4 linked regions of the Mus musculus genome follow. The protein of the gene in region 1 purifies or fractionates together with the protein of each later gene. This does not show direct contact. Links are inferred from orthologs where the notes say so. Each region holds a gene or a part of one and is shown in the gene's direction. Other genes may lie near its edges. The genes, in order: Slmap, Stk3, Stk4 and Pdcd10.

What was found.
Region 2: the proteins of Slmap (region 1) and Stk3 purify together in Homo sapiens (affinity purification with western blotting; 3 studies listed by BioGRID and IntAct, with this or other methods). This does not show direct contact. The link is inferred for Mus musculus from reciprocal best matches to the Homo sapiens genes SLMAP and STK3.
Region 3: the proteins of Slmap (region 1) and Stk4 purify together in Homo sapiens (co-immunoprecipitation; 3 studies listed by BioGRID and IntAct, with this or other methods). This does not show direct contact. The link is inferred for Mus musculus from reciprocal best matches to the Homo sapiens genes SLMAP and STK4.
Region 4: the proteins of Slmap (region 1) and Pdcd10 purify together in Homo sapiens (affinity purification with mass spectrometry; 3 studies listed by BioGRID and IntAct, counting the BioPlex papers as one, with this or other methods). This does not show direct contact. The link is inferred for Mus musculus from reciprocal best matches to the Homo sapiens genes SLMAP and PDCD10.

Annotation. Positions count from the first base shown.
Region 1 is NC_000080.6:26,529,337-26,537,098, reverse strand, and holds the start of Slmap (sarcolemmal membrane-associated protein), read left to right. Parts: upstream 1-2,474; 5' UTR 2,475-3,573; coding exon 3,574-3,771; intron 3,772-7,762. UniProt on the Homo sapiens protein: Associates with the striatin-interacting phosphatase and kinase (STRIPAK) core complex, forming the extended (SIKE1:SLMAP)STRIPAK complex.
Region 2 is NC_000081.6:35,151,559-35,159,344, reverse strand, and holds the start of Stk3 (serine/threonine-protein kinase 3), read left to right. Parts: upstream 1-3,538; 5' UTR 3,539-3,792; coding exon 3,793-3,818; intron 3,819-7,786. UniProt on the Homo sapiens protein: Stress-activated, pro-apoptotic kinase which, following caspase-cleavage, enters the nucleus and induces chromatin condensation followed by internucleosomal DNA fragmentation.
Region 3 is NC_000068.7:164,081,680-164,089,005, forward strand, and holds part of Stk4 (serine/threonine-protein kinase 4 precursor), read left to right. Parts: exon of another isoform or gene 1-1,950; coding exon 1,951-2,079; intron 2,080-4,815; coding exon 4,816-4,930; intron 4,931-7,161; coding exon 7,162-7,326. UniProt on the Homo sapiens protein: Stress-activated, pro-apoptotic kinase which, following caspase-cleavage, enters the nucleus and induces chromatin condensation followed by internucleosomal DNA fragmentation.
Region 4 is NC_000069.6:75,552,522-75,560,319, reverse strand, and holds the start of Pdcd10 (programmed cell death protein 10), read left to right. Parts: upstream 1-3,467; 5' UTR 3,468-3,598; intron 3,599-7,798. UniProt on the Homo sapiens protein: Promotes cell proliferation. Modulates apoptotic pathways. Increases mitogen-activated protein kinase activity and STK26 activity. Important for cell migration, and for normal structure and assembly of the Golgi complex.

The DNA of each region.
Region 1 (7,762 bases):
CTTCACTTTTGAAATTCCAGGTCATTTTACAGTTTCTCTCTCCTAGTGGGTAGTCAATTAAATGTTTGTTGAATGAACAAAAAAATGCATAAATAACTTTAAAATTCGTGCACACACCTCATTAGAGACAGGCATGCTCTACCACACCTGGTCTGTTTTATTGTTTTAAGGCTAAAAGTTATCAGAAGCAAAACATTTTCATCTTCTAATAATAAAACTCTTCAGTATATCTTTATTCTCTAGGTCAAAATGCCTGGGATACTGTAGTTATTCAATGTATTTGTTGAAATGATGAAGAACTGTAAAAACGTGTGAAAGGTCAGGTCTTGGACATTCATATTACCATGAATTTAAGCTTCAAGCATGAGCCCACGCATGCACACATACTCTAGCGTGACTTCATTTTTTATTTTTTAAAGATCTATTTATTTATTATCTGTAAGTACACTGTAGCTGTCTGCAGACACTCCAGAAGAGGGTGTCAGATTTTGTTATGGAGGGTTGCTGGAATTTGAATTCAGGACCTTCGGGAGAGTAGTTGGTGCTCTTAACTGCTGAGCTATCTCACCAGCCCCCCTAGTGTGACTTTATAATACATTACTTATTGTGTCCAAATTCACTTTGTGCTGCCCCTACTTTATCCTCTAATAACAAGCATGGTATTTTCATTCAGGCATTGAATATTTACTTAGCCTTTGTGCCAGGCACATGAGTGTATTCCTTTAAAAGCTTCATTTCACTACTTAATGTCCCTCTTCCTGGCAATTTAGAAAAACCATTCAACAAATACTGTATTTATTATAGTCCTTCAACCTTTCTTCATTCAGTTTTTGTGACTTCTCCTTGGAGGATGTCCCTGCCTCCCTCCCTTTAGAAGAGCTCTGAATATATCAGAGTCTTTGCCTTATTTTGTTCCTTCAGTTTCAAACCCACTACACTGGTTCTATAACCAGAGGGCAGAGACTAAGGCTGTGCTCATCTGTGTCACTTAGACACAGCATAGCATTACAGAAGCAATGAAATGAATACTGTTAATGTGGTTTGACACCACAAAGCCTCTCTGCAAGGGGGTTGTGTCTTGTCATTATGTTATAGAAGAGAAAAAGTATCCTAAAGAAGTTTAAAGCCATGTCCAACGTTTCTCAGGGAAGTCTGTGGTCACAGGAATCTCAAGAATGAAGTCAACACTGATTTGAAGAGATTAAGATTCTCTACAGTCTTTCCTAAGGTTTTCTTTCAGCTCGAGCCACGGTTTTTTCTTCTTTGGAACAATGACTCCATACATACTGGTCTTTCTCCTCGCAATTCCCAGGCTTAACACAGACTTCAGGATTGTTGGTTGGGTTATTCTCTGTATTTTCCTATTAGTAACTTTCGACCTTGACCCCTCTTTGGAAACGTGTTTTAAAACTTTCTGGTCTCAAGTAGGGTGTGGTGGCGCACACCTTTAATCCCAACACGCTGGAGGCAGTGGCAGGTAGATTTCTGAGTTGTAGGCCAGCTTGATCTACTTAAAGGGCTCCTGGACAGCCAGAGAAACCCTGTCACTAACCCTACCATTACCCCAACAAAATCCTCCCCCACTCCAAAAAACCCCCCACAACTTTCTGTTCTCCACGTTAGAACCCACGAAGGAGTTCTGAGAAACATAGTCGCATCAGTGAAAAGGACAGGAATTTGGGATGGAATTCATAAAGCCCGGTGAATTAGCAGAGGGAGGAAAGTCCTTCAGGTGTCATTAAGTCTAGGGACTTGTGGAATTTGGTCATCTGTAGAGCAGTGGTGAGTGACTCAGTTGCCCACAGCTACGATGACTGCTAATGAGTATGTCCTTTGCATGGAATTATTCTCCGCACGTGTTAGTATTTTCAGTGAGAACTGTAGTAAACACACTTAGTACACGTAGGTACTTGTAGGTACTTTCTTATTCATATGTTGCCGCTGTGTGTGCTTTTGAAACATTCAACCCCTCAAAGTTTCTCTTGCCCTTAACCAAAATGGCCCTTAAGGTTGTCTGGAGCTTTGAAGCTTCTGGCCCTTAACAAAGATGGCGCCAGGGGTCATGTTAAAAATAAGCTTGCCTTCTTCCCTGCCAGTGACAAACATGGCTTCCACGGCGTCAATCACATGATACCCCCTATCTACGGCACGGGAGCCGGCGGAGGAGGGCCCTTGAAAAGGGTGCGCGTTCCCGTGGCGGTGCACCCGGTAGGTTTCAGTCAGAGTCACTATGGCGGCCAACGCTGGCAAGGTAAGCTGAGGCGGCGGCGGAGGTGGTGGCGGCGGTGGCGGCAAGGGAGGAAGGAGCCGACGTTCCGTCCTGGCTCCGGAATCCCGTAGCCTGAGCAAGGAGAGGTCGCCCGAGGTCGGAGGCAGCGGCCGGGGACTGGCGGGGGCTGGCTGAAGGGGGCGAGGGCTGAGGCGAGCGGGCGCCGGTCCCTGACTGCCGTTTGTTTTGGTGTCTCCCCGCCTAGGTCGGAAAGTTTCCTGCCTCGTCCGCCACCGCCTGAGCTTGCCGCACTGGCTGCGAGTGGAGGAGGCTGCGGCGGACCCAGCCCCGGCCTCCAGGCCTCTCCCTCCACCTCCGGGCCAGCCTCCCTCCCCCACCCCGTCGTCCTGCGGGAGCCGCCAGTCCCTGCGATGCGACCCTCGCGAGGACGCTCCTGAGGGGAGGTGGCCCATGTGCTGAGCAGCAGAGCCCGAGAGCTCCGAGAAACCAACTTCCCGCCGGCCCGCCCGTCGGCCCGCTCGCCCGCCCGGTCGCCCGAGCCTCCCCGGGGTAGCTCCTCGCTCTGTCCGCACCGGCCTGCAGAGCCGGGTCCCCGCCCTGGTCGCGGGGACACCCGTCAGGTGCCCGGGACTCGCGACCCAGACGCCGCCCGTGCCCCGGCAGCCCTCCCACGCCTCCAGCCCGGGATCGCAGCCTCGGCTCACGCTGGGCCGGGGACCCCTGCCACTCCCGGGCGGCCTCGGCGCAGCAGGGCAATGCAGCCCGGCCCGCTGGCCCTCTAGTCCTCCTCGTCCGTCCCCGCACCTCTTCTCAGCCCCGAGGCCCCGCGGTGGCTGCCCGGAGGTCCTCCGCGCCTCTTCCTTGAGCCCCGAAGGACCTTCCTGGCTGCGCGAGTCAACCCTCTTCATGCTGCAGTGCTGCACCGTTTCCGCTACCGAAGGGGACAAGCGGCCGGGATCTCAAACAAAACACAAGAACTGGTGTGTGACTCATCTGCTCGGATACCTCCTGTCCCCAAACTGTCTTCCAGGAGTTTTCTTGGCCGAAGCTGCCCAATGTTTGAGCCTTTTCTTCCTAGGGAAGATGGACTGAAAGCTGCTAGTTGGGGACTTTTTTTGGTCAAGGTGCCTCTGTATTTTAAAGGAGGTGATGGGGCTTGCGCTGGCTTGTCCTCCTGCCCAATTGAAGAGTTGTTGATGTTCACTGGTTATGCTTAGACAATGCGCAGTTTGTTTTAATTTAAAAATTTTGGGGGGTTAGGGGGTGTAGGCTTGAGAAGAGCATTCCGAACCTGGAGGAGCTCCTCATTGTCCCTGGTCCAGACACCCCCCAGCCTGTCCTCGATGCCGTCAGCCTTGGCCATCTTCACTTGCCGCCCGAACTCGCACCCGTTTCAGGAGCGTCATGTCTACCTGGACGAGCCCATCAAGATCGGCCGCTCGGTGGCACGCTGTCGACCAGCGCAGAATAATGCCACCTTTGATTGCAAAGTGCTGTCAAGGAACCATGCCCTCGTCTGGTTTGATCACAAGACGAGCAAGGTAATGTCGCTATAGTGTTTGACAGTCTTTCCTTTCCTTTCCTTTCCTTTCCTTTCCTTTCCTTTCCTTTCCTTTCCCTTCACCTTCTCTGAGAGGTGTAATGTATGCAACGATCTCAGGGTTTCTTCCCAGAGGACACTTTTCTGCGAGGCCTCGGAATCAGCTTTTTGTGTGTGTCTGAATTCTAGTGGAAATGGAATCGAAGTGGTTGAATGAAAAACAGAGAAGGTATTGTTACTAAATGTCTCGGCAGGGCGATGGCTTCTTGATAAACTTGGTCATTCCCAGTGAAATCCCAAACCCTAATTCGTTTAGGAAAGGTAGATAGTGAAACTTGACCTCTGACTTTCAGTCCTTTTAGAAGGGTGAATCTGCAGGTCGGTGCTTGATTAAGCAAGCAGTGGTTCCCAGAGCAATGCCGGAATTTGTGGCCTCTGTTACATCGAGGCTCAAGTGTCTATGGTGAAATGTAGTTAACACATGGCTTGTAGTTGAATTCAACTCAGGACCTTGTCTGGTAGGATAACTGGAGTGCAAAGTTACTGTTTGTAACGATTGATACTTACTTGCCCCGATGAAATAATTTGTAAATATTAAAGGCAATTTAATTAAGCTAGAGTAAGTAACTACATCTTTGGAGTTCTGTTTGCAAGTTGGATCAACAGAAATCTATTGCTCTTGAAAGTCACTTCTCAATTTCTTTGGTAGATAATGTGTAATTATATGATGATATGCAAAAATTAGTATTAATAAGTTAGCTTATTTTTAGATTATATCCAATATTGTCTAATACACACACACACACACACACACACACACACACACACACATATATTTTAAAGACAGGGACCAACTGGCCTGGAACTCACTCTGTAGATCAGGCTGGCCTCAAACTCAGAGATTTCCCTGCCTCTGCCTCCCAAGTGCTGGAATTAAAGCTCACCATGCTGGGCCTTGCTTTTAATTTTTAATCCAATTTACCTTGTTTATCTTGGCACTGTACTTTGCTAGTTACTTATTTTAAAATAAAAAGGATCTTTTTAGTTTTTCAAGAATTTGCACGAATGGAGAATATTTTAAAGAACTCTTCTTTGGGCCTAAACCTAAGGCTTTCGTTGAACTACTGAAATAATTCCAACTCAAACTAAGTTACATAAGACTAATAGGACTGTCTCCAGTTTTGTCTCTTGACTTTTCGCCCCCTCTTTCTGAGTGACATGAGTAAGTCTTTTTTTTTTTTTTTTTTTTTAAGAGAAGAATTTGTCTTCAAGAGTGGTGTTTTGAAATGAAAGAAACTTGAGCCTTTAGAGGAAGAAAGTAATGCTAGGGCAGCTACTGAATTAAGGAATTACTAAGTAAATGCTATCTAAAAAAAAAAAAAAGGAAGGAAAGATCCCCAAGTGCTGTGTGCTTGCATAGTGGTTATAACCTATTCTGTGTGTAGGATGAAAACTGAAAAGTGTGTTAACTTTTTCTGAGTTACACCAGAGGCTCTTTAACCCATAAGAGAGACACTTTTCTCTTCCCTGAAAGCTAACATTTGGATGATTCGTGGATGACCTGTGATTCTTTGTAAATGACTCTGGAGTTCGTTATTGAATTCCAGTATTAGTTGGCTGCTAGTGACTAAATACAGTCAACTTTTACATTTTTACATTTTTGTGTGCTTGGGAAACAGGTCCAGCCGAATCAGATGACAGATTTGCTTACAGCACGTGCTTTGCCCACTGCAGTTCTTAGTTGAAAACTCGTGCCTGGTGCAGTGGCTCTCCCCTGTAAGCCTGTCTCTCAGAAGGCAGGAAGAAGGCATCATGTTCGAGGCTAGCCCAGTTTGCTTAATGAGCTTAAGATCACCAGCTCAGGTATATAACGAAGCTCTGTCTCAGAAACTCAGGATGAAGAGAGGATCTGCAGAGTTCTCACGGTAGACTTAGTTTATTTCTCCCTCTTTTACTTTTTTTCCTTTTGTGTCATTGGCTAAAATAGCACTAAGGGCTTGACGGTATATTTTGTGTAATTATTATTATACCACCTAATTTAGTTTAAACAGTTTCAATCTGTTAGGTTTTCCCTTTGTGATCAAATTATTTTAGGAATTAATTTTAAAGTATTGGCTTAGACAGACAGGTTTTTTTATTGAGCATGTATTCTGGGCCAGATCCTGGGAGATAACAAAGAAAACCAAATCAGTTTGTCCAAATACTATTTATTGCTTTGTGTGTGAAGTTTTAAGAGCTCTCCTGTGTCAGGCTCATGACAGCCGCCCCCCACCAGACCTAATATATATTCCTTGAAATTTATGATGCATAAAAATGCAAGAATCCACTCATAGGTATCATCTCAGGAAAGATTGTTTTAAAACACTACTAAGCCTGAGTTTTCTTTTCTTTTCTTTCTTTTCTTTTTTTCAAGACAGGGTTTCTCTGTGTAGCCCTGGCTGTCCTGGAACTCACTTTGTACTGTAGCCTAGGCTGACCTTGAACTCAGAAATCCACCTGCCTCTGCCTCCCAAGTGCTGAGATTAAAGGCCTGTGCCACCTCTGCCCAGCCGGAGTTTTCTTATCTGTGGATAGTATTGCCTTCTTAAAGTTTTTATTTTTGGGATAAAAAGAAATTTTGGGCTCGTCTGCACTAAACACTAGTTCTGCCACTGAGCCATGCTCACTGCCCCCTTTGCTGTCTTGGGATTCAGACTATTTATGCAAATCACATAGTACCCGGTGCTTGGCACGTGTTAAAGCTCAGGATTTCGTACAAGGGTGTTCGTGGGGAAGCATGAGCCAACATCAGCGCCCTTTGAACTGCTGTGTGCTGTGGCGTCTTGGGAAAGCAGTACTTTTTTTTTCCTTTTTAGACAGGAGCTCCTGTATGCTGAGCTCACTTCACACTCAGTACAGGCCCAGAGAGTGGGGACTCAGGCCTCTACATCCAGTTTTATTAGTGTTGAGGACTGAACCCAGGACTTTGTACAGGCTAAGAAAGCACTCTACCAACTGAGCTACATCCCAAGTCCAGAAATTGTTAAATACAATGACAGCTATAGAAGAAATGTTAAAAATAGAAGGTAGTGAAGTTGGTAACTTTGTTCCAATAGGCATTTTGCCTTGGAGGGAACAACTGGAGTAATGTGTCCTTTGTTTGACTTTGTTGGAGACCTGTTTTGTAGTTGCCATTATGAAGGCCTAGTAAAAGCTGGAATAAGTAATGAATACTTGAAGCATGTGTTGGAATTTTGAGACATGGTCCAGAGAAGACCCTGTGTCCATGACTGCTTGAGGCAGGACTCTTTCTTCAGCACTCTCAGTGTTAGAGTTGCAGGCCTTGGCCACTCGTTACTTGAAAATTTAGTTATTCAGCTCATAGATGTTCAGTTTAGAAACTGGCCAAGTGCAGGGAAGTAGAAATCTAGACAACACTTTCAGGAGCTTGGCTGTCGGTCTAGTACAAGAAATAACAAGCCATGGGTGGGCTTCTCTGTGGGACTTGCAGGGATATGTAGGTGATGCCTTTTAATGTTGAATTCATGAGCAGTGAGTGACTCCCCCCTCCCCGCCCCCACTGTGGTGTTGACTGTTTTACAGTTCATCCGAAGGGGTGTTAACAACCATCTTGTTTGCCTTTGTGTGTCTTCCTTCACTCTTCAGTTTTTATAGCCCAGAGTGGTACTTCAGTTGAGCCACTGAGCAAGTAAATCTGTCTATATGGTAGGCATACTGAGGGATTATGAGTGGACATATTGGATGGCCTTGTTAGTGAGTTCCAGAGAGTTTTGGATAGAGAGCACGTTAACAGCCAAAATCACCATTTAAGAAAAGTAATGCAATCTTTTTTTTTTTTCCCCCCCGGAGACAGGGTTTCTCTGTGCAGTCTTGGCTGTGCTAGAACTCACTGTGTAGACCAGGCTGGCCTGGAACTCACTGTGTAGACCAGGCTGGCCTGGAACTCACTGTGTAGACCAGGCTGGCCTGGAACTCACAAATCCACCTGTCTC
Region 2 (7,786 bases), on another chromosome or scaffold:
CCGTATCTATATTGCTCTTTTTCTTACCCATAGTGGACCATAAACATAGCTTTTGATGTATGTGTCTGGCTTAGGTCAATAGGAGCTCCAGAAGGAGGTTACCTGTCTCTGGCCACCAGTCTTCAAAAGCATACTCTTTCCCATTCAGATCAAAGCCATGAAGGACATATGAATACGCATTCAAGGCATTTCTTCATAGCGATGAATGACTGCCATAGTGAATATTATGCCCTGAGTCCACGGGAAACCCAGATGAGGCCAAGAATTTCGAAATCTGCCACAATTTGCAAGAGAGCCTTTATTTCGAGTCTGGACTCGGATCATCCGCCTCTACTGGCATGCAATAACGAGTTGGGAAAGCACTGAGTTTATATACAGTGCAGTTAGGGATTCCTTGAGTACCTAGGGTAAAGGGGAGTGGAGGCAGGGATAGCCAGCAGGGTGTAACTCAAACATGATACCATTTGGTGGGATGGAACTGAATCTGGGAGGGAGATTAAAGAGTGTCTTTTGTGGGGTTATCAAGAACTAATTTTTATGACCAGCCATAACTGTCTGTGACTTCTAATTACCTTTTTTCCTATGATTTAAATGTGGGACTTTAATCTTCTTTGAATTTGTTATTTCTCTAAGGTCCCAAGAACAGGCACCTAGAGAGCTCCGCTGTTTATCAGAGGGAGGCCTAGATTCTGGTGTTGCAGAGGCAGGGAGGCTGGCATCTGGATCCCTCAGGTGCTTTTATTAAGGGGGGTTTATGGGCAGTGCCATTCTAACTCTGGGCTGGGTTTTCTCAGAGAGGCCAGAGAGGGGAAGGGAGCCCTGGGCTTGCTGCAGGGGGACGCAGCACAGAAACCAGCTGCTTGTCACAGAAAGGAGGGGTTTCTGTGGGAAAATATGCAGAGGCAAACCATCTGTACACAACACTGGAGCCTCTTTGGTGAGGCTTCTAAGAAGCAGGGCAATTAACCACAGAGAGTTAACATCAGAAATTCGGGGGCTACAACAGTGAATAGCTGTGCTTGTTGAAAGCGATCCTGTGTGAAGGCAACCAATCTTGTCTCCAAAAGTTAAAAGCAACAAGATTAAAGTTGTCTGCTGGAATGTCCCAGGTATTTAATTCAGCTGCTAATTGGCAAAGGTCAAACACTAAGTCTGGCTACCAGGTGTATGGGGTGCCTTTGAGAATTGATAGAAAGCACTCGCTTTCCAGTAACAGAGGAGACTACACTCTAGGTTAACTCAGCTGGCTGATAGGGATTGATTTCTAGACCAGTCCATGATTGAGTCAGAATAACTGGTCACATTAAAGGAAAGAGAAGAGTCATTGTAACTTCTCTTTTTGATTAATTGTAGATGTAGGCTCTCAAGAGTTGCTAAGAAACCCCTTCTCCATTGCTTTTTTCTGATGGGTGAAATTATAGGGTGTCTTCAGAGGTATCTTGGATGAGTTTACAATCTGATAAAACCAGGAGCTATTAGAATCTATGTGAGCCATTCTCATTCAAAGCACCACAAACCCCTAGTCCCAGAGGGACAAGGGCAAGGGAGGCAAGTTGTTAGCTTGTCTTGAAAGGAACACTTTAGGTGACCTCAGTAGATGATCATCAGAAGAATAAACAAATATTCGAGTTCCTTTCTTCCTGACTTTCTCCTGCATTTATCCCCAAAGCACAAGTGGCCTGGGAAGCGCGGTACTCGTTGGCATTCACTACAGGAAGCTGGTACAGTAGGATAGGATTGCAAACCTGGATAGCAAAACCCCAGCCCAGAGCTGGATGTGTCAGGCTGTTGCTTAGGTGACAAGCAGAGAGAGAGGATGCTATGGGTTGGCTCTCAGATGACTCACATTTAGGTTGGATGACTGCCTGAGAAGAAAATGTTCAGCACAGAGCACCAATCATAAGCATATGCCGCCAACACCACTGACTGCTGTGCTTGGCTGGACTGGGATGACTTCCTGGAGGATAAAGTTGCTAAGACAAGGAACCCATTGTAAAGGATGATAAACTGAGCCCATCTTAATGTTTGATAAATTGAAAAAAAATCATGAGATGAACTTCTCAAGATGCTTTCTGCTGAAACAGGAAAAAAATGAGGTTGATGTGGAAGTTAGGAGAATGCGAGGTGGGCAGGAGAGTTTCAGTGGTGATTCCCAGTACTGACATTTTAAAAGCTGGTACTGGGGTTCAATGGTTAAGAGCACTGACTTCTGTTCCAGAGGATGTGAGTTCAATTCCCAGCAACCACATGCGGCTCACAACCATTTGTAGTGGGATCTGATGCCGTCTTCTGGTATGTCTGAGGAAAATTACAGCATACTCATATATATAAAGGCTGGCATTACTGTGTGTGTGCATGATGAGGGTGTGGAAGTGTGTGCATGTGTGAGAGAGATGTGGCAAGGGTGTGTGTGTGTGTAAGCCAAGGACAACTTTGTAAAGTCTGTTCTCTCTTTACACTTGTAGACTCATCAGGATTGTGTGGCAAGTGCCTTTGCTTACAGAACCCCCTCATGGCCCAGTATTGACATTTTAATCACTTAGTTTTTGTTATTGTTCCTATTGTCCTGAGTAGATGAAATAGATATCAAGGTGTGTGTCTTATTTAGTTTCAGTTGATACTCATTTTGACTAATATTGACTTCATACACATGGCTCCAACCTCTAAGAAAACTTTGCCCAATTCGTTTTAAAGAATATTCTAGAAAAAAAAATAAGCAAACTCATTTGTATAGTTGTGAGAAGATGTGTGTGTGTATTTTATGGTTAAATAGTAGACAAATGAATGTGTAAGGGGTCAAGTTCAATGGGGGTTAGGGCTGTCGGGGTCGGGGACCCAAGAAAAAAAGAAAGATATTCCTTTAGTATCTTTTTCCAAGCACTATAACTAGTCATGGGCTTTCCATGTTACCCAACAGGGCATCCAGCAAGACTCTGGTGTTCTAAATTTGTGCACCAAGAGATCACTGCAGTAAATATTTTCTGTCATTGGACTGTAATTATTATGCTTGTATACAATCAAAATCAACCAGAATTTCCAGAAGTATCCCAACTACTATAGTTACAAATGCCAATTGGCTTGGGGGGCAGGGGAACGTAGCTAATAATAACTAATAATTATAAACAGGACAAGAGAGGGAAGTGAGGGCAGTTTTACTTCAAACAGATTTACAAGATGATTGGCATGTATTCTTGGGGAATCCTGAGAAATGAGTCAAATCTCTAGTGGACTAGCACCCCTCCACCAGCACAGTAGCTTTTGGGTTGCCAAAGTCTCACTCTGGTAGCAAGACATCTTCTTTCTGAGCTGGGCACTCCTTTTGGTGGCCTTTCTCCACTACTCTCACCAGCGCTTGGACCCGCCCACCCTTCCCGGGCTGCGCTCCGCCCACCCTCCCTAGCCCTGCTAAGGCCCGCCCGCCTTCCAGGGCGCATCCTGTTCACTATCCCTGGCTGAGCTAGGGCCCGCCCACTCTTCTGGACCGCGCTAGGTTCCGCCCACTTTCCCGGGACACGCTCCGCCCACCCTCCCTGTCCGCGCTCCGTCCCGCCCACCCTCGCTGCGCCGGCCTCTTCCCACCAGCTCGGAGCTGCAGGCCACGGCCGAGGGGCGGGGCGGGGCGGCCGGGAGGAACCGCGTTGAGGAGCGGGAGGGAGATCCGCCGCGGAGTTACGTGAAAGTTGGTTCGAGTTTCCCGGTGTGATCCCTTGCGTTCGGCCGGCTGCTCCCGGGCTCCTTTCCTCCCTACGGCCTTCACGGTCCATTCGGCCCTTCTTTCTGCCACCGGCCGCCATGGAGCAGCCGCCGGCGTCCAAGAGGTAACGACGGCGGGAGCGGGATGAGGACGGAAGCAGCGGCGCGGGGCGGGGGCTACTAGGCCCGGCCTGCCGCCGCGACCCTGTCCCCGCCTGCTCGGCGCTGAGCGCAGCCTGGTCCAGGCGCCCACCGTTCGGCTCCGTCCCTCTGCGAGGCCAGGGACCCAGAGGGGACGCCGAGTCTCCGTGCCGACGTCTTGAGGGCCTGGTGCGCCGCAAATTGAGTGGCCCTCGCTGGGTTCCCGGCCCTTCTGGTGGCTAGGAGGGTTTGAGTAGTAAATTCCAGAAACCTGGAGATAAGGACATCAATGCACGCTTCTCTTATTCTCTCTCTCTCTCTCTCTCTCTCTCTCTCTCACACTCTCTCTCTCTCTCTCTCTCTCTCTCTCTCTCTCGATCAAGTCTTCTTAATAATATAACCATTCACTTTGTGAAGACAGATCGCTTATTTACAGTTTAAGGAATTAAGTATATTAATAGCCACGCAGAATGTAAAACATTATGGATGTGCAGCAATGACAGGTGTTTCCCCCCTCCCCCCAAAGTTCTAAAGAATTTATGGATCCAAGATAGATGGAATGTTAACTTAGAACCTCTCCCCCATATAGTTTTGCACATAAAAACAGTGATACTTTGGTATGCTATATATTGTTTATGTTTAATCATGGACATATTGGATGCATCTGTGTACAATATGTTTGAACTAATCATTTCAATCATCTTAGGAAACTAAATGTCCATTGATAAACGTTCATAATGTCTTCTCCCTGTTCTCCATGAATGAATAAAATAATTGTTTGACGCTGGGTAAAACATTTAACCTCACTTTCATTTATAATTTACAAAACTGTCTAAGAGAGTGCTATAGTGAAGATTAAAGTCTTCATGTGCTCTAATATCTAGAGATATTTAGATGTAAGGTGTTAGACTCATGAGGTGGAATCGTTAAAAAGGTAGGCACTTTGAGAACCGTTGTGAATTGTGTGATTAGACATGTGAGCCTTGGTTTCTGGAAACCATCTGTTCAGATGCAAAAAAGGGGAGGATGTGGACAGTTTCCCAGAAGGGACAGGCTATCCTTCTGGGCCCTGGAAGCAAGTCAGTTGTTAGATTCTAGCATGTTATTGGTGTCTTTCCTCTGGTAGTCCCTGGATACTCGCCTTCCCCACAATAACAGAAGAAAACCTGAAACTTTTTTTTCTTTCTGTTTTGGAAGGGCAGTAAAGGGGAGATCTTTGAGACTATGGCATAGGCCAGCTGGAATGACTGAATTGAAATAAAAGATCTGTGCTGGTTGGCTGTACTGTAAATTATCAGTTTCATTATAGCTGTAAGAAAATGCCTGCACTTGACATTAGTGAACCTGGACAATCAGAAGTTGTGGGTGACAATTCCATCGTGACTTATACTTTACAAAGCCATGCTTGCACATAAAACTTTACATTTTAAATTTCCATTTCTTCAAAGACTCATTTTAATCTAGAAATGCAATTCTTTTAGTTCTTTTGTTTTTCCCCTCATATGTTGTGCAGTGTGGCTTGAGTGCCTGGGTTTAAGAGCTCCTTCTGCCTTTGACTCAGGAATAGTTGGGACTAGGATATAGTTCCTGTGCAGGAAGGGATTGTTTTTAAAATTCCATTTTGTTGATTTGGTATCCCTGCCCTCCACCTCATGTGTGTGTGTTTCTGTAAACCCAGGCCATGACGTGTGTGTAAGTCAGCACAGCTTACAGGAGTTGTTTCTCTCCTTTCACTGAGTTCTGGGGCTTAAACTCAGGTGATCTGGCTTGGTGGCCGGTGTCTTTATCTAGTGCGTTATCTTGGTGTCCCAACAAGAAGACATTTGCAATAAGCAAAAGATACAGACTGCTAATCTTTTATATCTTAGTATCTCAGTGTTTTATTTTATAGCATTTCCAAATTAATAGTGTTTATCCTCACAACAACTCTATGCAGTAGGTTGCATTAGAAAAAGATTATAAAATCTCATTTTATAGATGAAGAGACTAGGAATTCACCAAATTGAAGCTTGTGTGTTACTGACAGTGAGTTTCTGTGTAGCCTCTTTGACCTTTGTTGTCTATCATGAAGCATAACTACCATTTTTGAAATCTTATTGTTTGCTAGGAAGTTTACTCATTGTGACTTAATGTTGGGCTTTTGTTCTCAGAGCCTCATTAGGTATTTTGTTCTGCTGTTTAGAAGGCTCATGAACCCTCATCTGCATGGTCTATCTGAAACATTTTTATGTGATAAGATTGCTACATACCCTGCTTTGGGTATTCACTTTTGGAAATAATAATCCTGGCCCTACCACTTCCTATGCTAGTTCTAAATGTAAATGTCTTCACCTGTAAACTGTATCATGGGAATGAAATGGGCTCATGTGAAGTGCTTCACAGCATGTTCAGTTCAGCGTGGTAGCTTGTATTTTATTTATAAGTGAACTCAGAGCACCAGATGTGATGGGCTGCAAAAGTGGTATATTCCTTTATTATGTAGAGTGGTGCCGTTTATAATTCTATCACATAGTGGTCATTGTTTCTACACCTTCTGGATCCCTCTGCTCACCATTTCTAATCTCAGTAGGAATGCCGGGAGTATCACTGTCTTAGTATTTCAGAAGCATTTCCATGGCAGAGCTGGGCTGTTCTCGTCTGAGCCAGTATGATTAGTTGCTGCTCTTAGTTGACGGTTTGATTTTTTTTTTTTTTTTCATGTGGGGCTAGTCCTTCCTCCTTTTATTTAGTTTCCCATTAGGTCCCAGAAAATTTTCTATTAACAAGTTTGTGGGTTCACTTTTTGTTTCCCCTTCTCATTTTTAAGATGACTACTATATTTCAGAGGGACTAACACACTTGAGTTGCAGCAGTGCCTCCCAGCTGGGCACTTCCGTGTTGCACTTTTCAAAAACTGTTTGACAGTGGAAGGGCTGTGCTTTGAAGTAGTGGCAGGGTATGGGGCCTGGCTTCTAGACGCTTGTCCCTTTGCTGTCTTGCAGAACCAGGACTCCATAGAACACAGTTGGCTTTACTTTTCCTGCATGTAGTTTCCAGTTTATTTTGCTAAAATATCATTCCAGGTTTGGCTTTTCCCCTCTGTTAGATATCCAGTCTGTGGTCTCCTCCCAGCTCATTCTGTTACTATCTGACAAGATGAAGCCTTTATTTGGGCTGTAGGGCAGGGGCTTGCCTAGTTTTGCTTTGATCTGTGCCGTTCCTTTAAAAAAGTTTGTGTCAGCTTACTATGCTGGTGCATGCCTGTAATCCTAGTCCATAGGCTGAGAAGGGAAGATCACTATAGATTTGAGGGCAGCCTTGGCTACATGCAGTATAGTCCAGGCTAGCTTGGATTATAGAGAAAGATACTGTCTCAAAGGGGAGGGAGGTTGGGGGGGGGCAGGAGGGAAGAAAAAAAGAAAAGAAAAGAAAGAAAGAAAGAAAGGTTTGTTATTGCTATCAGCATTATCATTTTTTCCTGTAGTCTGTTTTATTCTTCCTTTAAAGCCTGCTTCAAAAGTTTCTTCTCTGAATACTTCTGTCCAACCTGAGATACTCCTCAGGACTCCTAATATGATATTCATTTGATTGTGTGCTATATTCTTTTTGCATTACAAAATTTTAGGGATCTAAAACATAATGAGAACTAATTTAATAAGTACTTATGTATCAGCATTCAGCTTAAGAAATGCAATATTCTAAATACATATGAAACCCTCGGTATGCATCTCTTCTCAATTGCATCCCTTCCCACCCCCAAGATGGCCCAGCATTCTGCAGCATTTTGTATAATTTTTGCTGAAGCAAGGATGGTTATCATTGTCAGAGAGACATGATTTACCAAATGGGTCTTGCTTTCAACTATATTTAAAATTGGCAAATTTTAAATAAAAATTATGTAAAATTTGAAATTAATTAATTAGCGTGTAGTAGAAAAAGTTGATGTGGAACAGTGAAGACAGTGGAAAGGCGT
Region 3 (7,326 bases), on another chromosome or scaffold:
CTGAGGGAGGATCTTACCTGCGCTTCTCCGCTAACGCAGATGGTCCTGCAGGGAAGGCCTGCGGTTTCCACTGACTTGTGGCTTGTTCTCAAAGTGAGCGTGTGCTGAAGAACCACATTGAGTTCTGGAGCTGTGGTCATGCTCTTTTGAAGAAATCCTGTGTCTCTGGGGCAGGGCAGAGTCACAGCTTGAGCTGAGCTGAGCTGAGCTGAGCTGAGCTGAGTGGCTGGAGGCTTTAGAACGGAGCCGCGTCTCCTTGCGATTCTGTCAAGTTTTACACTGTGGCTCCTTTAAGATTTTCCTTTTTCTTTCTTCAGTCTTAGAGCCACATGTATGTTAGGCATGTGCTCTGTCACTGAGCTACATAGGAATATAGCCTTTGTTACGTTTTTATTATCAGATAGTAACAAATTGTTCCCATAGTCTCATGGCTAATGAGTGTTAAAGCATGGAATACTTCGGAGAGCTTATCTGTGAGGAATGAGAGCAGACTTCCAGAAGCAGAAGGCGTGGGAAAACCGCAGTACAAGTGTGCTGAGGGAAAGAGTTCTGTACCCAGCAAAACTCACTCCAGCCTGAGCCGACATGAAGAGATCCTTGCACAGATGCTCAGTTTAGTATTTCAAAGAGGCCTGTGGATGTCAGTAACAGCACCTGCTAACAGTGGCTAACTACGGAGGCACGCACTGACAGGCTAATATATCTTCCCCAAGTGGACAGTTGACTTGACAACGGTTGGTCTGGGCAGTTCCTACGGTCACAAGGTGGTTATGTTAGTTTCAAGTGTCACTCCCTTTGACAGGATCCAAGCAGGGCGGAAAGTGACAAGTGAAAATGGACAGCCTTGTTTGCTTGTCTTACCCAGGAAAAAAGTCTCGAGAATTCTAGCCATACGCTGGCCAGATCTAGTTAGATTCATGCTGCTGGTTCATTCACCAGGAAGAGAAATGGCACAGCCTATCTAGATTTGTCCTAATTGAGGGTTATTTTAGCAAGGAGGAGAGGGCACTGGTTGGGTCTTCCCTGCTTGCTCAACAGTTGTTTTCTGTGATAAAACAGTGTTTGAAGCTCCTTGGAGCGACTTTATTCCTCTTCAAGTGTAAGGAATTCAGATAGATTCTTTCATGTGCTCTGCATTCATAGATATTTCTTTTCTTTTCTTTTCTTTTTTTTTTTTGGTTTTTCGAGACAGGGTTTCTCTGTGTAGCCCTGGCTGTCCTGGAACTCACTCTGTAGACCAGGCTGGCCTTGATCTTACAGAGATCTGCCAGCCTCAGTCTCCTGCGTGTTGGGATTAAAGGTGCCTGCCACCACCGCCCAGCATGTTTGGGAAATTTAAAAGATGATTTTTTCATATCACTGAATGCTGCCCGGGGTATTAATGAAAAAATGTCCATAAGGTTCTAGCGTGTTTCGAGTGAGCACCGTAGCTGTCTGGTTAGGGGGTTTGCATTTTGTTGTTGTCATCTTGTGAAGAAGACAGTTGAGGCACAAGGAGCCAACTTAGGTTATAATAATGTGTATCAGCAGTGGATTGCAGTCTGCCATCTTCTGATTCTAAACCTCTTGTTCTTGTAGCACTTAGACTGAATGAACATAGAACCTTGCTTTTGATAAGCTTTTTGGGGAAGATGAAACACGAGGCAAAAAGATTTGAATGTGCACTGTTCATCTGATTCTGGCACGAAAGAGACTTAGGTTTTCATGAGATTCCATGTTGTATGCCTTGCCGCACATGAGAGGACTAAAGACAGAGAGACTGGTAATAGAGTGGCCATAGAAAACACACATGTGTATTGTGTTGCTGTGAAGGGAAAACGAGCATCGCATTCAGACTGCATGGTTCAGATCATGGCAGCACTTCCACGAGCGTGGGTAATTCATGCGATTGTGCCACACCTGGCCTTGCCTCTCGGTGTCTTATGAATGATCTCCTTCCCCCAAACGCAGGTCTTATGGCAGCGTGTACAAGGCTATTCATAAAGAGACTGGCCAGATTGTTGCAATCAAGCAAGTGCCCGTGGAATCGGACCTGCAGGAGATAATCAAGGAAATCTCCATCATGCAGCAGTGTGACAGGTAAAGCCTCGGGTCCTCTGACAGACAGAGCTCGGCCAGCCTGGCGCCTACAGACTGGAGGGCGGGGCTGGGAACCGCAGGGCATGTTCTTTCTGAAAAATAGGAGAAAGCATGTATGCTTTTGTAGCTAGTTCAGTTTCCATTTTTGTATATTTCCTTCATCAGTCAGACCTTTTAGAGGTCTCTCTTACTTCCTATTGCACATGTAGCTGAGATAATTCAAATACTTTTTAGCTCCAGAAACCATAGCATAGCAGGTTGGTGTATAAAAAAGAGAATATTTGCTTAGGTACCGTTTCTTTTTTGCCGTTAAGAATGATTCGGGTCAAGAGTCCTTAAGTGTTTTATTTTTGAGGAACTAAGATTTGTCAAGCTCTAAGCAGGAAGTTGGCCCCAAAGTCAACCACAGAAGAGCACGTGATCTGCCCTGAAGTTCCATGACAACTTGCTGGTTGACGGAGCAGGCCTGGGCTCTGCTCTGTTAGATGTACAAGTACAGTGACGGACTGTGCCAGGTCCTGGGGTTTGGGGTGTGGGCGAGGGGCCGGGGGGGGGGGGGGGGGAGCATGGTCAGTCGCTCCGAGGCCAGTCTGGGCAGATGAGTCTGTTACCTCCTGTCCTCGTGTTCCTCAGGCTTCAGCGGTAGACTGGGCAGTGCATCTTGTTACTTTGCAGCGACCTCAGAGCTCCCTGACTTTGAAGTGCAGCTGCTGCTCATCTGCCTCTGCTTTATTTACTTATTTCTCTCTTTGTGGTTACTGTCTGTATGGTGCCTTGTACCGCACAAACTCCTCCACCCCGCCCCACAGCTGGATCGGTGGAATTAAGTTAGCAGGTTTTCTTCTTAGCCACATGATGTACTTACTCGAACTCTCTTTAGTTGGTGAATGGGAACTGTATCTAGACAGAGTATGGAAATGCTTCTAACTAAAGATTTGACTTTTAAAGATTTATATATTTTTACTTTTTATGTGTATGCCTGCATGTATGTATGAGGCCCACGTGTGGGCCTGAAGCCTGTGGAGGCTAGGAGATGGATGGTATCCAATCCTCTGGAATTGAGTTACGGACAGTTGTGAGCTGCCATGTGGGTGCTGGGAGCTGGGTCCTCTGCAAGAGCATCATGTGCTAAGAAATGATGTGTGAAGGTCTCTGTGTCAAACTGAATTAAAAAAAGACAGGGCAGAGTCATTGTGTCCTGGGAGTTTTGTCTGTTTGTTTGTTTCTTTGTTTTATTTATTTAGTTATTTTGTTTTTCGAGACAGGGTTTCTCTGTATAGTCTTGGCTGTCCTGGAACTCACTTTGTAGACCAGGCTGGCCTCAAACTCAGAAATCCGCCTGTCTCTGCCTCCCAAGTGCTGGGATTAAAGGCGTGCGCCACCACCGCCCGGCTCTTTGTTTTATTTTTCTGTCACTGTCTTTTGAGTAAAGGGAGGGTTTAGGGGACCTTTGTCTGGCTTACTAGAAAAAGTGGCCGGAGGAAGAGTGTCAGTAGGTTTCCTCTGTTCTCTGGGAGTTGACAGCCCAGGCATGAGCAGTGCAGGAAATGCTAGCCGGGGCAGTACAAGGCTGCACAGATCTTATCCCAACACTAAAGTCCGTGCCTACAGAGGAGAGGGAGCAGAGCACCCGGATTGGGAACCGCAGGCTCACTTACCTGTGCTTTCACGAAATCTCATTTTATGTGCCCTGTCTTCTTTGCCACTGGCACATGTCCCAAGGATGAAGGGGCGTTTGCAATCAAAAGTCAAGGAAGCCAGGATAGTTTTAGCTTCTTTTGTTGCTCTGCAACCCAGCTTTCAACAGTAGTCCAGCTGTTAATGGCACAGGTGTGGAGACAGCGTTCATTTTCCTGAGATGCTTGGCTTCTCACATATTTCTTACTTGGTGTCTCTCAGCAAATTTAAGACCAGGGGTCCAGATTTGATGCTAAGTAGTCTTCTTTCTTTATACTATACAGTGATGATCTTGTTACTCCCAATTATATCATGGCTTTGGAAAAAAAGAGAAAGAAGAAAGATTACTTTACGTCACTGTTACGGATCCCTTGGTGTATCTGTCCCTGTCTCACTGGGCGTTTGACTGTGTTTGCTTTGCTGGTTTATAGCTTAGCTTCCCCTTTCTTACGCTGTTTGTTGTTTTGTTTTTTTTTTTAATTTAAATTTCATGTCTGTGTATCACTTGCATGCCTGGTGCTAGAAGACAAAAGAGGACATTAGGTCCCTGGAACTAGCATTACAGACAGTTATGAGCCACCATGTGGGGTTGGGAACCAAACCCATGTCCTCTAGAAGATCAGCAAGTGCCCTTAACAGCTGATCCATGTCTCTACTCCCAGGATATATTACACTATGTATTAACCATTCCTCTAACATGTTCTGTGGACTTGTATTTAGTATGTGGTAGGCTGTTATTTATTTCTTAGGTTCCCTCATGTTGGCTGCTCACCTCATGTCTCCTTTATCAGGTCTGTGTTCATAGCTAATTTTTTGAGAATCTGTGATTCTTTTCTAAAGAAAAGTTATACACTTAGAAATACTGTTCCCTTGGTTTGAATCTGCATATTACTCTTAGGGAAAGCTATCGCTTGTCTTCTCCTCGAGAGATTGCTTTTGTTAGTCCTAACTAGAAATAATTCGTTTTTATGAAATGAGAAGTTACTTTCCATGCATTGAACAGAATGAATTAAAATGTTTGACGAACATTCCACTGAATTGTATTGTGTCTCTTTCCAGCCCTCACGTAGTCAAGTATTATGGCAGCTACTTTAAGAACACAGACCTGTGGATTGTTATGGAGTACTGTGGGGCTGGTTCTGTATCTGATATCATTCGGCTACGGAACAAGACGGTAAGCTTACCTCCTAGGACGGGGCTGAGGGAGAGCGGTTTCTCCCGCTTCTTCTGGCCTTTTGTGCGTGTGTAGAAACACACGGAGAAATGACTGTCATTTTCCCTTTTCCTTGGGTCTCTGCTCTCTTATACTCACCTCCCCCAACCTCAAACGAGGAGAATCTCAGTGTGGTCTCTTACCTTTGATCCCTCTGGCTCAGCCCGAGTGCTAGGTCCCGGGGTCAGCCACCTTGCTCGATTCCCTTCTAACCACGGCAGCTCGATACTGACTTGTTCCAGTGGGTTTTGCTTATTTCTTATTAGGCGAAACAGCTGTCAAACCATGGTTTAGGGATGAGTTTTCATTCTTTTATAAGGATTTCATGGGGAAGAGTAAGTAACCAGGAGCTGACAGTGTAGCCCAGGCTGGCCGTGGACTCACACTCCTCCTGTGTCATTCTCCCTACCATGCCTGGCTGCTCTAGAGTGACTTTTAAAAATACTTGATCTTTTAAAGGTTATATGATGGCAATTTCTGAATCTAATGATAGCTTAATACTAGCTTATTAGTCTACATGACTTATTTTGCTGTGTGTTACATAAAAACCATTTAGTGTGACCACTGCCAGCCACAGATGACTAGAAGTATTGTTTCAATTTGAAGAAATATGACCACAGAAAGACATAAAAAGTTGGCCGGGCAGTGGTGGCGCATGCCTTTAATCCCAGCACTTGGGAGGCAGAGGCAGGTGGGTTTCTGAGTTTGAAGTCAGCCTGGTCTATAGAGTGAGTTCCAGGACAACCAGGTCTACACAGAGAAACTCTGTCTCGAAAAACAAACAAACAAACAGACATAAAAGTTTAATATTTCTCATGATAGAACCAATCTTCAAAAAAAGAGAAAAAAGATAACAGTAGACTGATGGTACTGTTGTGCTAAGTGACATTGCCCAGGCTGAAACCACAGACACTGCTTGCTCTCTTGGCCTGGGTGTGTTCTGATGTGGATCTCAGCCTCTCATGTTTTATAAGCGTTGTCTATGTGGGGGTGGGGAGGGTAGATGCCAGGAAACTAGAATGGGGCCCACATGAGGCAGTGAAATTTTGACTTTAAGCAGAAAATTGCCTTACAATTAAATCTAAGTAGATGGTAGCTATATTTAACCCTGAAGTCATGATGGGTTGGGGATCTGACCACCTGTGAGACATCTGAAGTTCCCGTTCTGTTCCTTTGGGAGTCACTGTTGAGGTTCGCTTGCAGAACATTTCCCCTGCTGATCGTTAATGCTGAGATAACGTGCTGGTCTTTCCACTGCTTCCTCCAAGTTTCATATTTGTCCTTGTTTTGATGATTTCTCTCCTTACTAGTCCTCATTCAGCAATTTCAAGTCTTAGAATAAAAGTGAAAGAAAGTAGTGCCCCAAGTGCAGGCTGCTCCCTCTGATCCTGGGTCCCTGTGTGCACAGCTTACTCCCCACAGGCTGCTCCCTCTGATCCTGGGTCCCTGTGTGCACAGCTCACTCCCAAATGTGACTTGGTTGTCACACGGGAACTGTGTGAGGGTTTGATGGGATCTGTTTAGGACTTGAGTCTGCTCAGAGATCTGTGCCAGCCTCTAGCCTCTAGCACTGAGATTCTAGAGCAATTTCATTTACCACGGCTACAAGAGTAAACAATAAAAGCCAGGATTTTTTTTTTTTTTTTTAAAGATCTATTTTATTTACATGAGTACACTGTAGCTGTCTTCGGACATACCAGAAGAGGGCATCAGATCCCATTACAGATGGTTGTGAGCCACCATTTGTTTGCTGGGAATTGAACCCAGGACCTCTGGAAGAACAGCCCATGCTCTTAACTGCTGAGCCATCTCTCCAGCCCAAAAGCCAGTTTTTAATGGAGCATGTATCTGTAACAAGGAAGACTGCATTGTATGTTAGATTATAACAGAGAATGACCTAGGCATGGAGAAGGAAAGGATTCTGCTGTTTTGATAAGTGACATTTGGGCGAACTGAGGAAGGCCTGCAGTACAGATAGATGTAGGGAGGGAGAGCCTCAGGTAGATAGACCAGGCAGGTGAGAAGAGCCAGGGGACCAGAGCTCAGGGCTCGGAGTTCACAGGGAACAGGGAACGGGAAGGACAGAGCAAGGTTGAAGCAGCTGTGTGTCACGGAGTTTGGATGTAGCTTTTCTCTTTTCTCCTATTTGATGTTAACAGGCTTGAGACATCTTACTGTTTTTTGTTTTTCAGTTAACAGAAGATGAAATAGCTACAATATTACAATCAACTCTTAAGGGACTAGAATACCTTCATTTTATGAGAAAAATACACCGAGATATCAAGGCGGGAAATATTTTGCTAAACACAGAAGGCCATGCAAAGCTTGCAGACTTTGGAGTCGCAGGTCAACTTACA
Region 4 (7,798 bases), on another chromosome or scaffold:
CTGTATTACATGCATTTAACACAAAATATTAAGTATCTTTTCTCTAATGTCTAGGGTATGTTTCTCAATCATTTTTATAAATATCTATTTCCCTGTTTCCAGTTCACTCCCAAACCATTTGATCTGGAACCTGTGAGTGGTTTCTCTGTTGTGTCAAGGACAGCCTCCAAACCTCCTGCTAGAAATGCATTCAAGTCAATTTACTTTCACTCCATAGACTTAGAATCAGAATTTTAAATTTAAAGAGAGGTCCAAAAGACAGTGCCATTTGAAATTAACCAAGTCTTTTGGCTAAAAGGGAGTCATCCCCTGAGCAGTTTCCACTGGATAGACCAGCAGGATAAATAATCTGCTTTATTTCATATATCATACTTTATATAAATTGAATGACCTTTCCCAACACTAACCAAGAAAAAAAAAACAGGTTATTTGAAATTGATATAAATGTTAATTAAACTAGATAAAGAGTTCAAGGTGAAATAACTGTCCAAGTATGATATACTCACAATTTGCTCTCATATAGAAACACAAGTCTTATTCCCAAAACAACACAAGAACTTAGTCCACTGACATTCCTAAATGGATCTGATCTCACAAACAGGGGAATATTAGGCATTTTAAAATTGAAATCTCATTCATTCTTAATGAGTCTGTAGTCTTAGGATATCTCAGAGCCTACTATTTATGTAGTTAGATGAGATTTTAAAAACATCTTCATTTCAGCTGTTTTCATGTAAATTGTTTTCTATCCATTTATTTTCTTTGTTATTTACTGATTTCCATCAAATTCTTTCAAAAGGTCATTCTTACAAAGGCTCTAAAAGAACTTCATTGCCAGTCACATAATTAACTATTATCTTTTTTTTGTGTGTGTGGAGGGAATAACCAGAGACAACAGGTATTCAGTTTCCAAGTGAATCAGCAAAGAGCCTGAACATCTAAGACGGACTCAGGACCATGCACCTACCATCACACATAACAAGGGCAAGGACAACCTTTTCCAAGTTTTATTAAACCACCAGATCACATTTTCTCTCCCAAAAGCATTTTCTGGAGATCACATAGCCAGATGGCTATGCCAATTAATAGGTTTCTAGTAGTATACCAAAGATAACATCCATCCTTACTGTCACTGCTAAGTTTAGTGGCTTCTATAGCTTTTTTCGAATACTTACATGATCTGCTTAATCTAAGCCTAGATATTTCTTGGTTTTGCTTATTTATTTATTTTTTAAGATTTCTCTGTGTGCCCAGGTCTTTGGTGTATTAGAATGTGGGAGAAAAGGATTTAATTAATTTAGTAGTGGGCATCTCTCATCAGTATCTGCACTTAGTAGGACTGAACCTTAAGTAATGGAGAGAATACCTTTGAGCCACTTTAGTTTTAGAAGGCATCTTGTGTGCACTGCAAAAACAAAATTCAAAATCTTGCAGTAAACCAGAATAGTATGACAAAAGAAGAAAATAGAAGGTGATTTCTGGATCTTATTGACCCCTCTTTAAACAATCTCAAGTATTCTGGCACCCTATGGAATAGTCAACTGTCACAAGAAAGCCATTTCAGAGCAGAGTATGCTGCAATATGCTACATGACTAACAGGCATATAATCTGGGACACTATTTCACAACAAAAAAATGAACTAAGCACGTAGAATTTTAGTACTTTTCCAACCCAAAAGGCTGTAATCTGTCATAGGTGCAAAGGTAGGATTGACTACCTAACATAACAAGTATTACAACATAATTCCACCCGTATGTATTACTAGCATTCAAAAGAGTATACACACAATGAGAATGAACTATTATTGTGTGATACTATATACCTCTAAAATGAGAGCCCATTATAAAATACTAAAGGTTATCATTTTACACATACTCTCTTCAATAGAGGAAAGCTCCTCCACACAGTTCCCTTGTACTCCTGTTTTTAAAACACGAACAAACGTTACCGGACACAAATGAGAGAATAAGAAGCAGCGAGGAAGTACACCATATGTTCCCGTTGTAGGCTAAACCCAGGTCTTTGTTTCAATATTCCAGCGCCAGCAGGAAGGAAAAGCCAAATACCCACCCATTTCAATTTATTTTCTCATTAATGCTGGTAAAAGTTATACTTAGGATAGGTTTAGCCGGAACCCATCCTATCTTATTATTTGCTTCTTTAACCCATATCTTTTGCAATCCAAAGACCCTGCAATACAACCGGTTATCTTGGATAGACTGTCCGTGGCAGGACAATCTGATAAACTAACACAAGCGTCAGGCACTGAAGAGGACAAAGTTATTTTCTTAGTGAAACAGTTACAAAGTGGTTCTCTATCAATGCCAATTTTGCCTTTTTAACAGCTACGCATCTAGCTTGACACCATCCACCTGGTACTCAATTAGCAGGGCTTTCTTCAATCTTGTGATCTCCCAGACCAGTTTTAATGGTGCAACTCAAAACAAAATCCTTAACCACGCCCTTAATATCCCAGGCAGAGTTACCTTTTGTTTTTTGTTTTTTTTCTCTCTCTCTACCAAAGTCTGTAATTGTACGTAATTGTACTGAAAAGGTTTGCACCGCGATCCTAAGTCAACATAGCACTCTTTCCTCCAGTATCCAGGCGTTCCTATTGTCAGATGCCTTCCTCCCCAGGTTGCTGTGCTGTAGCCCGCAAGTGGCGCCCACGCTTACCTCCTTCACACCTGCAATCCCCGCTCGGGATGCTGGAGAGGATGCTGGGCAGGCTGAGACTGCTCCGGATGCTGCTCTTGCCTCTCTCCAGGGAAACTACAGACTAGGCTGAGCTGAAGCTTCTTCTGAGATTCAAGCTCCGCCTTCCCCGCCTCTAATTGGCCGAAGCTCGGGCTGCGGCTCCTCCCACTGCCATCTGCGCAGCCTAGGCGCAGAGCGGTACCCGAGGTCTCTTAGTTCCTGGTGCTCTGACCCCTTCATTTCGGACTTTCTCCCCTCTGGCATCGCACCTGGCCCTTCCTCAGGTCCTGCTTAGCTCTTTTAGCCGGCTGGTCCAGTGAACACGGGAGTGGGCTGTCCTTTGGGGGTATGGGGGTACTGTTGCTTCGGAGTAGGCGGAGCCCACCGGTCTAGCCCCTAGAGCCTTCCTCCCCGCCTACCCATGGACTCAGCCCAGCCTCCTGTCGCTTGCTACCTCTGGCCCCCCGCCCTTTTCTTTACACCCATCCGAGGGCACCTCCCATCGGTGGGCGTGGCGTTGTGGGCTATCTTCTCATTCTGATTGGTGCAGGTGAGACTCGGCCCCGCCCTCCCTCGTTTCTGGGCGCGCTCTCTCTTCATCTCCTCCCCTCCCTCAAAGACAGGGAACTCTCTTCTGATTTGCTAGAAGTGTCCCCACCTATTGCCTAAGGCGTTCTCGCACAGCCTTCTGGGAAATGTAGTCTTACTATTGCAGGAAGTGCTAACGGAAATGGAGGGCGGAACTACAAATCCCCATCGGGCCTTGCGCGACTCCTGCTGGGCAGGATTCCGGACAACGCCTGGTTCCTTTCGGGTCCTTCCGGCGTCGCCGGAGTGAATTGATCCGGGAGTTGAAGAGGGCTCCAAAGGTGGGAAGTGAAGTCCGTGCCTCAGTTGCCGGTAAGGCGAGGTTTCTCGGTTCGGGTCCGCACGGCTCCGTGGGCAGCCAGAGCGGCCTGGGGTCAGGCGGGGACCGAGGCGGAGGTGCTGAGGCTAGGCTCTGGCCGGCGGGGCGGACGGGTGGGGAGCCGGGCCTTGTGGGCGTCAGCGAGGTCTCTACGCGAGCTGCGGAAAGCTGGGTTTGTAAATGCCTCCTGCCCAGCCCGGCCCGGCGCCTCCAGGAAGTCCGCTGTGGGTTTGGGTGGAGGGGAAGGGTGAGGTCGGCCTCCCGGGTCTCCACTGACCGAGGGGGCGGATGTGGTGGGGTGAGGTCCCGGGCAGGTGAGGCTAAAGCTTGGCTAGGCCTGGAGGGAGCGTGGGTGCCCGGGAGTCGCCTCCCGGTGTGGCTGGGGTTATGCCCTTTGAGGGAAGAAGAGAGACAGTGTTGACAGTTCCGACTCAGTTCCAATTTCCTCTCTGAGGAGGTGATTCTTAACTCGGAAGGTTTGTGCCTCTTGACTCCAATACGTCAGATGGATGTATACTTCTCAAGTGCCCTCGAAGCGCTTTCACTTTGGGATGCTAATGAGACTACTGTAGAAGCAAATGACGTGCCCAAGGTCACACAGATCTTCAGAGTCTAGTCCTCCGAAAGTCCAGTTTCTGACCAGAGTTGTCGGCTTAGGAAGAAAGAGTGGGGAGGTGGGTGGTAGTACTGGAAGCAGATAGAAGAAGTTGCAAAGTAGTGTGCCTGTTTGTCAGAAACGGTTGTGAGGTGCAGAGAGTTGGTTTGTTGACGTGGAGTGGAAGCTTTGCCAAAGCATCCTCTCTAATGTTCTGTAAAACAGGAAGGATCGCTTTAGCTTAGATCTTTACCCCTTTTTCTGGGGTCTACTGAATGATAACACTCACTTTCCACACGCCATTTTTAAAGGATAGATAATATTTAGGAATAGCTCAGTGTTGCCATTAAGAGAATAGTCCTTTTCATTTCTATTTTCTTACCATTTTCAAAAACTATGGGTGAAACTTTCACAGAACTTACTTTACAGATATTCATGCTTTCATTAAGTGAAAATTAAGTGCAGAATCTTGGAGAAATTGTACCATGTTCATTACAAGAAGTGACCCTTTGGGGGGGGGGGTCAGGTTTTTACTTTTCTCTCATTTTCTTCACTCCATGTGTAGACAGTAAAACATACACTTGTATATTTTCTTTTCTTGGCATCATCAGTGAGTTTTAATTCATTCTTATTTAATGTTAATGAATGATAAAAATGATGCTTCTATATTGAATGGAAAGAACTGCAGGCTTACTATGTAAATTAAAATATAAATACATAGTATGTACTGTAAGTATATATGCTATATATTGAATGTGCTTTGCTTGCCATGATTAATATTAATTTTTTTTTAATGCAAAGCTGTTTCTGGGATCAGAAGAACCAGTCAAAATGGTCTTGTTTGAAGGGGACTTTTAAAGAAAATGGAGAGTTGTGGTACCATAAAATGAAGCAAAATCAGGAATAATGTAACACCACACGTCACAGTAAGGGAAAAGTCACTAACAAAAGGGAAATTATCTGGGATTAATTGGTTTTGAAGTGGAGTTTGAAGTGCATTAATTTGAGTGGGCCATATGTAAGTCAGTGCTGGTAAAGCAAGAATGCTAATATATTTTCTAGATGACAGTGTGGACATTTGTTGTTTGCTGGGAAAGGTATGAAATAAGTTTTAAGTGGCACACAGCTGTGTTGGTTATGGAAGGACTTTTTTAACAACAAAAAAAGTTTTGTCTTTGATTTAGTCCTACTCCAACTCTGTCTGTATCTCTGAGGCCCATCATACTGTCCTGTTTCATCGTCACTACAGTGTAAGTGCTGAGATGAACAGTGAGATGAACAGAGAAGATGATTTTGAACATCCTTCAGGCTCTAGCTAGAGCTCACAGATCGGATGTTTGCCTGTAGTGTGCAGCTCTCTTTGCCCACATTTGTTCCCTTAAAGAGCTTTGCATCAACTCTCAGACACTATCCATTGCAGGACTTTGGAGGTTTTCCTTAAAGAGCCATCTCTCTCTTAAAGAGTAGTCTGTAAGAACAGGGTCTATATATTATTTATCTTTTTAGTCTTGGTAGAATAATTGAGTGGCTAAGGGGAATGGAAAAGGAATGGCTAGGTGACTTTCCCAAGGTCATATGACCTGGAAAAGATCAGCTTATAATTAATCCATGTATTTTCACTATAGGTTTTAATATTGTGTTCAAACTTCGATTATTTTATGTAAGAAAAAGACTGACCATTACAGATGTCACTATCTCCTTATTCTGTTTAATGCTACTAATTTGTCCTCAATTTCCTGAATGTCTCCAAACTTATTCTCAGCTGTCACCTTTTTTTCTCATATAAGTTTCTTCCTGATTTGGGGACAATTTTACAAATTCCAACTTTCCACCTGTCTAGTATAAGGGAGTTTTATTTTCTTTTACAGCAAAACTTCTGTGTAACTTAGCATTTTAGAAAACCTTGCTACTGCCTTTTTAAAAAGCAAATAAGATTCATTATAACAAAATATAGATATGGAAGAAGGTTTTTATGGACTCTATTCTTCCCTTAGATTTTAACTTCAAAACAATTATTTCACTTACCTTGTAGCTAAGGACACCAAAACTAGAAGTAAATTTACTCCTTGGGACTCAGAAGAATACAATGCATTGCTAAAGTCTTGGAAGGACTAGAGCCAAGATTTGAGTATAAACCTCTCCTATGTTTGTTTGTTTTAGTTGGTTGGTTGTGGTTATACCCAGGATTTAATACAACCTTGAGAGAAGATGATTTTGGGAAACTAACTTTCTAATTTCAGAGGAACTTATATTTTGCACTTCTTGTAAGTTATATTTGAAGCAGGGCAGTGGTAGGGTATGCCTTCAATTCTGGCACTTCAGAGGCATAAGCAAGTATATCTCTGAGTTCGAGACCAGCCTGGTGTATATAGAGTGAGTTCCAGGACAGCCAGGGCTACACAGAGAAACACTGTCTTGAAAAACGTTATAATTGAGGGATTTAAGGTAATATTTTACTTTTTTGAACATATGACACTTCTAAGATTAAAAATGTTTTTAAGTTTGCAAACAAAATTTTAAGGATATAAAAGGCTAGATTTTCTCTAGAAGACAAAATTCTGTAATTTTTCTCAGTAGCATACTAATATAATAAACCAGAGTAGATTCCCACTCTTCCCCATATAATTGACACTTACATACTATTGACACTTTTCACAGTAGGAGCTTATTATTTCTATACTGATTTAACAATGTTTTAACATCTCACTAAACATTATCGGAGCAAGGCCTTCTCACTTCTTCTATCTTAGCTCTGAGCTATGTATGTAGCCTTTACTCATCTGTTTTCTTACCAGTACACTTCCCAGTAGAGGATTGTGTTTGCTTTCAGTTTTGATGATGTGGTAAGGTTTATTATTAACCATGGTTTTTGCTAAATTCTAAGCTTACTTGGTACTTTTTGGATGATAGTCTGAATATTATTTGAATCTTCAATAACAACTTAATATTTACCTTACATAATGCAGTTTGCAGGAGATTAAGCAATTATTTATGTGTTGATAGAGTATTAGGGTTATTACAATAGGTGGTATTACTAAGAATTTTAAGCTAGTATATAAATTTTCTTCTGAAATATATAGAAGATGGTATAATTTTATACTTCATTGCATTTAAAATACTGTGTGTTTCAGACTTAGGGCAGTAGAATATTTATACACATTCATAAAAATAAAATTTAAAGTACTTCTATTAAGGCAATTAGAATTAATTTATTTGCTGCAATTGAAATGAATTTCATAATTAAATTTTATATAAACATAGGCATTTTATTTAAGCTACAAAACACACCTTGGCTGGCATCACAATATTAGCCTTATTTTTCAAGGCCACCTTTACATTTGGAGTATGGGAAGCCATTTTTTCGAAACTACCCAAAAGTGATTTGAACTTATTTAATCTCCTATTACAGTTGCTTGGAATCTGGTGTTACTGTAGGAATGAAAGAGAGCACAAGGATTGTTATAATCATTAGTTTATACTGAATTATTGGGCATGCACTGGAAATTAACCTCCCTTTCCTCAGTCAGAATGGTCCCTTGAAAACCCATAGGAATGATCCTTTGATTCATCCACCTATGAATTAGTTGAGTGTGTTTTA